2 linked regions of the Oryctolagus cuniculus genome follow. The protein of the gene in region 2 purifies or fractionates together with the protein of the main gene of each other region. This does not show direct contact. Links are inferred from orthologs where the notes say so. Each region holds a gene or a part of one and is shown on either strand. Other genes may lie near its edges.

Region 1 (4,624 bases), on a different chromosome or scaffold from region 2:
TTTGAGATGGAGAAACCTCCCGTTCGTTCCCCAAATGGCAGCAACAGCCGGGACTGGGCCAGGCCGAAGGGCCAGGAGCGCCCACTGCGTCTCCCACAGGGTGGCAGGAACCTGGGTACGTGGGCCGTCACCTGCTGCAAGCTGGACTGGACGGGGGCGGGGCGGCACTCGGGCTGGGATGCAGCTTGATCCACGGACCCACACACCTGCCCTGGAGGAGACTTTTCAGAAAACGGGGGGCTGGTTTTTGGGGTTCCCGCGCCTCTGCAGCGTGCGTCCCCTGTATGCAGGCCTCGGACCGGGCTATTCCACGGTGCCGGTCCAGCGTGGGTTTGGATCTCTTACGGCCAACACCTGGGCTTGGCTCACGCTGTGGGCCCCGCCGCTGCGAATTTGGGTTTTTCCCCTTTTTTTCCAGACTCAGTCAGCGGGGAGCGGGCACTTCCTGCCCACAGATTCTCCTCGGGAGGGAACGGTTCAGGATCAGGCCCAGAGGGGACTGGCCCAGCACGGAGCGGCCAGAGGGAACAGGCCCAGAGGCCTTGCAGCGGGCCTGTCTCAGTGCTGGGCATGGGCAGCCCCACCTGGCCCGAAGGCGGCTCTGCCCAGAGCCTCGGTGGCATTCTGGAACCCCAGGGCCCGGCAGACGACGCTGGCGTCCGTCAGGTCCCAGAGGTTGTCGCACACGGTCCCCCACTGGCCCCTGTAGAAGATCTCCACGCGGCCCTCGTTGGCTGCGTCCCCGTTGGCCAGCCGCATGTCCCCGTCCTTCTCGCCTGCGGAGAGGGCAAAGGTCAGCTGGACGCGGCGCCCACCCAGCAGCGCGGCGGTTGTAAGGGCTTCCCCGGTCAGGCTGGCCGGTCCCTCACGTCAAAGCGCCCTCCACCCTGGCTGGGTGACACCCGTGCAGACCCCGCCCCCAGCCCGCGAGGCTGACTTGTCTCCCTGGTCCGCGTGGCCGGAGCTGAGGACAGGGACAGGGACACGGACGAGGAACCGGTGCTCTCCAGCACTGGACAAGAGGGGCAGGACCCCAGAGAGGACTGGGTGGGGGCCCTCGAGGGCAGCCGAGCAGGGGCGTCCATGGGCTCCAGGACTGGCGAGGGGGAGGGGGAGGGAGGTGTCCAGGACCCTTGGAGGCCTGGCCTGTGTCCAGAGGCTGCTGGCCTCACGACCACCCCCGCCACCGGCCTATGTGCTTGCCCCCATCCCCACTGGGGACAGAGTTCCTGGGTCCCCTCCCCATCCCCCCAAAGCCAGAACCCGGGGTCCCCGGAAGACACAAGCCACCCTCATTGGGTACCGCCTGGCTTGAGGCAGGAGAGACCTGGCCAGCACCTCCCAGCTCTCCGGAGGAGGGGCCCACCCCGACCCCAACCCCGACCCTGACCCCGCGGGGCAGGGCGGCAGCAGGCGCGTGGACTTCGGCCCTGGGCACCTCCCGGGCTCAGCTCACCTCGAGTCCCGGCGAGCAGCAGCCACACCCAGAAGAGCCGTGGGGGGGCCATGGCCTCCCTGGAGCCCTGACCCTGCAGCAGAAGGAAGCGGCGTGAGCCCGCACCCCGACCCGTCCTCCACTCCGCTGCGGGGCACACAGGGACCCCCTCCCGCAACCCCCCCCCGAGATCTCCCCATGATGAACAAGAAGGCGACCTGTGCCATGGATGCCTGGGGGGGGCTGTGCCTGGGCTGCAGGCAGAGTGAGCCTGGGCCAGAGGCAGGGGCGAGGGAGGGGGAGGCGCAGCCGGGGGCCCAGGGCGCGGCAGAGCCCCAGAGGCACCCAAGGCGGGCAGAGGGGAAGGGAGGTGAGAGGCAGGGCAGGGGCTCCGACAGGAGTGAAATCCGGGCCCCAGAGAGGCTGGGCTCGGGTCGGGGAGGAGGGGGAGGGAGTCCCTGCCTGGCGGGTTCTCCCTGCAGCTCCGTGGGAGACGGGCGTGTCTGAGAGCCCCTTGGGGGGAGGCCAGAGGGGGACGACGTGGACTTCGGCTCCGGTCCCCAGGACACACAGGCTGGGAGAGGCCGTGGGGTCCTCCCCAGGGCACCTCCCACCCCCGTCCCCGCCCGCCCTGCTGCCCCCGGCAGAGCCAGCGTTTGCTTCTCTGGGACACCCGCGGTGGCCACTAGCAGCACTGGCTACAAGCGGGGGCCTGGACACCCGCCAGGCAGGCCCGGCTCCTCACTGCTGCGCGAGCGCTGGGACCCAGTGCAGCAGTCTGTGGGGGGCCCGGCGTGGCTGCCCGCACTACGTGGTCACCCAGGGCCCCTCGCACAGTAGCTGTCCTGGCCCCAACGACCGTGCAGGGGCTGCTGTCCAGGGAAGCCAAGGGCTCCGCGCGCCCTTCACGGGCAGGAGGGCCAGGGCCACCTGCTGTCCCTGCCCCACTTCCCAGGGAGCTGCAGGGCCGGCTTTGTTCCCTTGGGGACAGGAAGTCAGGGCCCCGGACATGGGGGCCACGCGAGGCCCTGGCACGTGGCCGCCGCCCTCCGTGCGGTGCTGTCGTGCAGGTGAGAACAAGGCCTTGGGGCCAGGCCCGGGCGGGGACGCGCAGGCCCAAGACAGGGCTGAGGGCTCAACGCTGGCCCCTCCTGCCTCGGCCGGGTCCCTGTGCAGGGAACAACCACACACAGAGGCCCTGCGGGCCCAGGCGCGGCGGGGGTGGTCCCTGGACTCGGGAGCCCGGGGCGCCCTGCTCCAGGCCCGGTGCCTGCAGTGTGGCCCACGCTGGCTGCCTGCGTAGACAGGGGCTTACCTGCCTGGCACAGGTGGCTGTGCGGGAGGCTCCCGCCTCTGCTGGAGGCCCAGCCTGCAGTGTGGAGGGGCGGCCCCAGGAAGTGCTCCAGGGAACAGGGACGACTTTCGATTCCCACAAACCACCTGACTGCAGCCTCCGCTGGGGTTGGCTGCAGCTCTGCTGGCCAGGCCCCCTCTTCCTTCCTGCTCTGGCTGTGGGGGTGGGGATGGCAGCCACCCAAGTTCTGACAACAAGACCTACAGCGAGGGGCAGGACCACAACACGAAGGCCAGCCTGGGACAGCGGAGCAGAGGCCCTGGGGCAGACGGCAGCGCTGTGTCCTGGCAGGGTTGGGCCCAGCACGTTGCTGGCTGGGTGGGCAGCCCACACCCCGCCAGGCTGCAGGGCACTGACCCCCGCAGGCAGTCGGGCAGGGGGCCCTGAGCCCTGGGAGACCAGGAAAGCGGCCGGCACGTGGCTGAGCTGGAGCTGCCCCAGTACCTGACACCAGGGCCTGGCCTTGTCCACGCTGGGCTGACCACCCACACTGCAGAGCGGTCACTCCCCTAACGGGAACACGAATGGCCCCGCCCAGCACACACCACCCCCCCCCGCCTCCATCCCCAGCTGCGAGGTCCCAGGGCGCCCTTGGCCGCAGGGATGGTGTCGGGGAGGGCTGTGCGCCCAGACAGCCCAGCGGGAGCAGCGTCCTCTCAGGGGATGGCGCCCTGAGCCACCACGCTGGGTGTGAGGTCCTGGGCCCAGCGGCCCAGTGACCCGATCAACATCACCTCTGGTTTCTTTTCTTAAAAAGATTTATTTATTTGAAAGGCAAAGAGGGAGAGACAGAGAGGGAGAGAGACAGAGGTCTTCCATCTATTGGTTCACTCCCCCAAACGACCACAATGGCCAGAGCTGAGCTGATCTAAAGCAGGAGCCAGGAGCATTCTCCGGTATCCTATGCGGGTGCAGGGGCCCAGGATTGGGCCATCTTCCACTGCTTTCCCAGGCCACAGCAGAGAGCTGGATCAGAAGTGGAGCAGCCGGGACTCGAACTGGCACTCACATGGGATGCCGGCCTCATGGGTGGCGGCTTCACCAGCTGAGCCAAAATGCTGGCCCCCTATCTCTGGCTTCTGTTCCTGCGTCCCATGGGCCCAGATGAGGGCCCCGAACAGAACCACCTGGAGCTGCACGCACTCCCAGGGGGCGGGGGCAGGCAGGGGCCCTGTCAGCACGTGGCAGCTCTGGGAGCCGCTGGGTGGGACCCGTGGCTGTTCCCCTGCTTGGTTCATCTGAGCCCCCGGGGGCCCGCAGGCCTGGACGGCCACAGCTGGAGGCAGAACCCCTCACCGCCACTTCTGTCTCCAAGGCCAAGGCTCTCTGCCAAGCGCCAGGCAGGCTTGGGTCAGACTCCGCCCAAGCCGCCCTCGAGGCCTGGGCACACGCGCGGCGAGGCGCCGACCCCCACCTGGATGGGCCACGGGCGGGAAGCTGAGACCGCTCTGGTCCACGCGGGAGGAAGTGGACCGGCAGAGCAGTGACTTCTACACGGAGCTGCAGGGTGCCCAGAGCCAGCCTCCTCCCGCCTCAGGCCTGTGCGACCAAGGCCTTCCTGACAGGTGTCCCGTGGGGGAGCAGCCCGTCCCCAGCCCCTCCCACTCCACCAGGCTGGGTGCTCCCCAGGGCAGACCCCGCTGAAGAGTCAAGGGAGACCAGGAGGCAGGAAGAACACAGTTCCCCTCTGTGGCTTTATTGTTTACAAAACACAACAGGCCCGCCCTGGGGCCTCCAGAGCCAGGCTGCGTGGTGGTCACAGGGCCCGCAGGGGACGCTGGGTCCTGGGGCCGCGGCGCCTCCGCTCCCGCGCTGGCGGCTGCCCTGGGGTCTCG
Region 2 (4,011 bases):
TCAGCCTCTGTTCTTTGTGGCCTCTCCAGGGACGCTGATCCCCCCCCCCCCACGGTGAGCAGCTCAGCCAGGCTGGCACCGTCTGGCCCTCAGCCTGTCTCTGGCCAGTCTGTTTGGGGGCGCTGGCACCTCGTACCCCTGTCCCTGGAGTATTCATGAAGCCTTGTGCACCCTCAGAGCTCAGCCAGAAATCCCAGCAGTGCCCCCACGGCTGTCCACACTGTGGTCACGCCTAGTGTGGCAGGGTGATGCCATGCGCCTGCTTTCCTTGCTGTCTGGTCTCTGCACTCGTGCAGTGGCGGGCATGCGGAGTGGCATCGCAGGCGGTCAGCACACACTGTTGAGGGAGCAGACTCGCGGCCAGATGCGGCACCCAGGTGAGCACCTGGGGAAGTGAAGCGCGCGCTCGCACAGCACTTGTGCTGCTCCCCAGGGCTTCCAGGCCGAGGTGAGCCGAGTGGTGGGAGTGAGCCAGAGGCAGCACCTGAGTGCCAGCAGAGGTGGGGTCAGATGTCGCTGGAGTCGGGCCTTCAGGCCCGGGGAGAAACAGGACAGGCCAGCAGAGGTGGGGTCAGATGTCGCTGGAGTCGGGCCTTCAGGCCCGGGGAGAAACAGGACAGGCCAGCAGAGGTGGGGTCAGATGTCACTGGAGTCAGGCCTTCAGGCCCGGGAGAAACAGGACAGGCCAACAGAGGTGGGGTCAGATGTCGCTGGAGTCGGGCCTTCAGGCCCGGGGAGAAACAGGACAGGCCAGCAGAGGTGGGGTCAGATGTCGCTGGAGTCGGGCCTTCAGGCCCGGGGAGAAACAGGACAGGCCAGCAGAGGTGGGGTCAGATGTCGCTGGAGTCGGGCCTTCAGGCCCGGGAGAAACAGGACAGGCCAGCAGAGGTGGGGTCAGATGTCGCTGGAGTCGGGCCTTCAGGCCCGGGAGAAACAGGACAGGCCTGGGGAGAAACGGAGCTGCGAGCACAGGAGCAAGCGCTGTGATCCCAGTGTTTGCCACGTGGCTGCTGCCTGGGCCAGCCTCCGCTGCCCTTGTGGGACACTTCCCTTCCCAGCAGGTGTGTGAGGCCACGCTCAGTGGTTTTGTGAACCACACAAGTGTGCCCTCTAATGCCCCCACAAGGTCCCAGGCTGTGGCTTTCTGGTTTCATGTTTAAAGATTGAGATCTTCCAACCTCTGGTTCACTCCCCAAATGGCCACAGTGGCCGGAGCTAGGCCAGGCCGAAGCCAGAAGAGCCAGGAACTCCATCCTTGTCCCCGACATGGGTGCAGGGCCCACGCACCTGGGCCGTCTTGTGCTGCATCCCAAGCCGTTAGCAGGCAGCTGGATGGAAAACAGAGCAGCAGGCCCTTGAGTCAGTACTGCAGTAAGGGATGCTGGTGCTGAAAGCTGCGGCTTAACCCACTGCACCAGTGCTGGCCCCCTGCACCCTGGTTGATTGGCCCCCACTGAGTGTGTGGGGACATCCGGGACAGCCCCACTGTCAGCTGGAGGTTCGCTCCTGCTGCTCGGCGGTCTGTCAGGTTGCATGCATCCTGCAGCCGTCTCGGTGCATGTGACAGAAACGCAGTTCTTGGGGCGGGTGTCGGCACAGCAGGTTGGGCCGCCACCTGCAGTGCCAGCATCCCTCCCACACTGGAGCGATGGTTCAAGTCCGGCTGCTCTGCTTCTCATCCAGCTCCCTTCTAATACACCTGGGAAGGCAGCAGAAGATGGCTAAGGTGCTTAGTCTCCTGCACCCATGTGGAGACCCAGAAGGAGGTGTGGCTCCTGGCTTGGGCCCAGCCCCGGCTGTTGCAGCCATCTGGGGAGTGAAAACAGTTGAGTTCTTCAAGTTTGGAACGGTGTCATCTTAAGGAGGAGCCTACAAGCATGGCTGGTGCTGGGAGCACGCTGCCCCCGCTGTGCCCCCCAGGTGTCAGGTGTCCAGGGCCTGTGCTCAGTGGGAGGAGCCGGGGCAGTCTGCACCTGCCTTGCTGCCACAGTGTCTGAGCTCCTGACCTGCGGTCACTTGAAGTCACTGACTGCCTGTGCCAGTGAAGGCAGGTGTGACTGGCCAGTGGGGCCCTGCGAGCCTGCCCCGTCTGTGCCCTGCAGGTGCGCTGCCCTTGGCTTCCCAGGAGTCCGCTGTGGTGGAGGACTTGCTGTACGTGCTGGTGGGTGTGGATGGCAAGTATATCACTGCCCAGCCCCTGGCCGGGAGGCAGAGCCGCACCTTCCTCGTGGACCCCAACCTGGACCTGTCCATCCGGGAGCTGGTAAACAGAATTCTCCCCGTGGCTGCCAGCTATTCCACCGTGACCAGGTAGGTGCTCAGCCCCAGGAGCCCGTCCTGTGTAGGCAACAAGGCGTCTGCTGGTGAGCGCAGAGGCCGTGCCTGTCCCGCTGTGGGGCAAGTCCCTGCCCGGCGTCCTGGCTCCCTGCTTCCAGCAGGGACGGGGCTGAGTGAGCCCTGTGCTCCTGCTCAGGGCGGCCCTGGGGTGTTTTCCTGGCAGGTTCATTGAGGAGAAGTCGTCCTTCGAGTACGGGCAGGTGAACCACGCCCTGGCGGCCGCCATGCGCACCCTCGTGAAGGAGTACCTGATCCTGGTCACACAGCTGGAGCAGCTGCACAGGCAGGGTCTCCTGTCCCTGCAGAAGCTCTGGTTCTACGTGCAGCCGGCCATGCGCACCGTGGACATCCTGGCCTCCCTCGGTATGCAGCCAGCCTGGGGGCAGCGCGTGAGGGGCGGTCCAGGCCGGGAGGGGCTGTGTGGTTCGCACTTCCAGACCCAGAGGCCTGTACCAAAGCCTGTGTTGCTTTATGTTTTACGGATTTGTGGGAGAAAGCCCGGGAGCTTTTTGACGAGCTTTAGGTGCCGGTGACATCTTCACAGTTGGGGGTGCTCCCAGAGGAGGAGCACCTGTCGCATGAGAGTGGGAGGAGCCCCAGGAGACGCCTGTGGGTCCCCAGCTCTGAGCCCCCCTGCTCCCTGCAGCCACCTCTGTGGATAAGGGTGAGTGCCTCGGGGGAGCAACGTTGAGCCTGCTCCACGACAGGAGCTTCAACTACACAGGCGACAGCCAGGCTCAGGAGCTGTGCCTGTACCTGACCAAGGCGGCCAGCGCACCCTACTTTGAGGTTCTGGAGAGGTGGATCTATCGGGGGATCATCCATGACCCCTACAGGTAGGCCCCTGCTCAGCCAGGGCCCCGTGGCCATGCGCGGCCGCCGTCCCCCAGACAGAGCCTGTGTGCACAGCCGAGGGCTGGGGTGCGATTGGCTGCACCCGGTGACTAGTGTGTTGTGTAGGGGACGTTGGCGCTGCCTTGATTCGGGATCCTTGGGCTTCCAGGTGTGACACTGCCTGTAGGTGCTTCCGCTGTGGGCGTTCGAGTGACGGGGGCACTGTCCACACCCAGAGCTTTGGTTCTTTGGTGTTAAGATGGGAGAAGTGAGCCTGCAGTGCAGGCGTCTGGCTGGGCCTCACACCACAGCGCCCAGCTTGCCACGGTGACTCCTCGGGAATATGCCCTGACGGTGTCGGGCTCACGGCCCCTGACGCCAGTGCTGTTTCAGAGCCTGTGTTCATCGTGGAGGCAAATGCTAAATTCCAGGAGAGGTAGATCAGTCGCCATCCAGCTCTGTGCACCCTTGAGTTCCCCTGACTCCAGGTTAAATATCCAGTTTCGGGGTGAGGTTTCTAGGTTCATTTTATTCTTTAAAGGTTCATTTATTTGAAAGAGACAGAGACGGAGAGGTGAGAGAGAGAGAGAGAGAGATCACCTATCTGCTGGTTTACTCCCCAGATGGCCACAGTGGCTGAGGCTGGTCCGGGGCAAAGCTGGGAGCCCAGGACCCCATCTGGGTCTTCCACGTGGCCGGCAGGGGCCTAGTTTGGGCCATTGGTCACTGCCTTCCTAGAGAGCTGGGTTGGAAGCAGAGACTTGAGCCCATTCGGGATAAGGTGCCAGTGCCCCAGGTGGCAGCTCCTGTAGGTTTATTGTAACTCACGGTTGAGAAGTG

What was found. The genes of interacting proteins can lie anywhere in the genome.
Region 1: the proteins of TUBGCP2 (region 2) and LGALS3BP purify together in Homo sapiens (affinity purification with mass spectrometry; 3 studies listed by BioGRID and IntAct, counting the BioPlex papers as one, with this or other methods). This does not show direct contact. The link is inferred for Oryctolagus cuniculus from reciprocal best matches to the Homo sapiens genes TUBGCP2 and LGALS3BP.

Annotation. Positions count from the first base shown.
Region 1 is NC_091448.1:2,763,134-2,767,757, reverse strand, and holds the start of LGALS3BP (galectin-3-binding protein), read right to left. Parts: upstream 2,905-4,624; 5' UTR 2,751-2,904; intron 1,530-2,750; 5' UTR 1,509-1,529; coding exon 1,457-1,508; intron 777-1,456; coding exon 585-776; intron 1-584.
Region 2 is NC_091446.1:266,174-270,184, forward strand, and holds part of TUBGCP2 (gamma-tubulin complex component 2), read left to right. Parts: intron 1-2,102; coding exon 2,103-2,310; intron 2,311-2,500; coding exon 2,501-2,700; intron 2,701-2,983; coding exon 2,984-3,173; intron 3,174-4,011. UniProt on the Homo sapiens protein: Component of the gamma-tubulin ring complex (gTuRC) which mediates microtubule nucleation.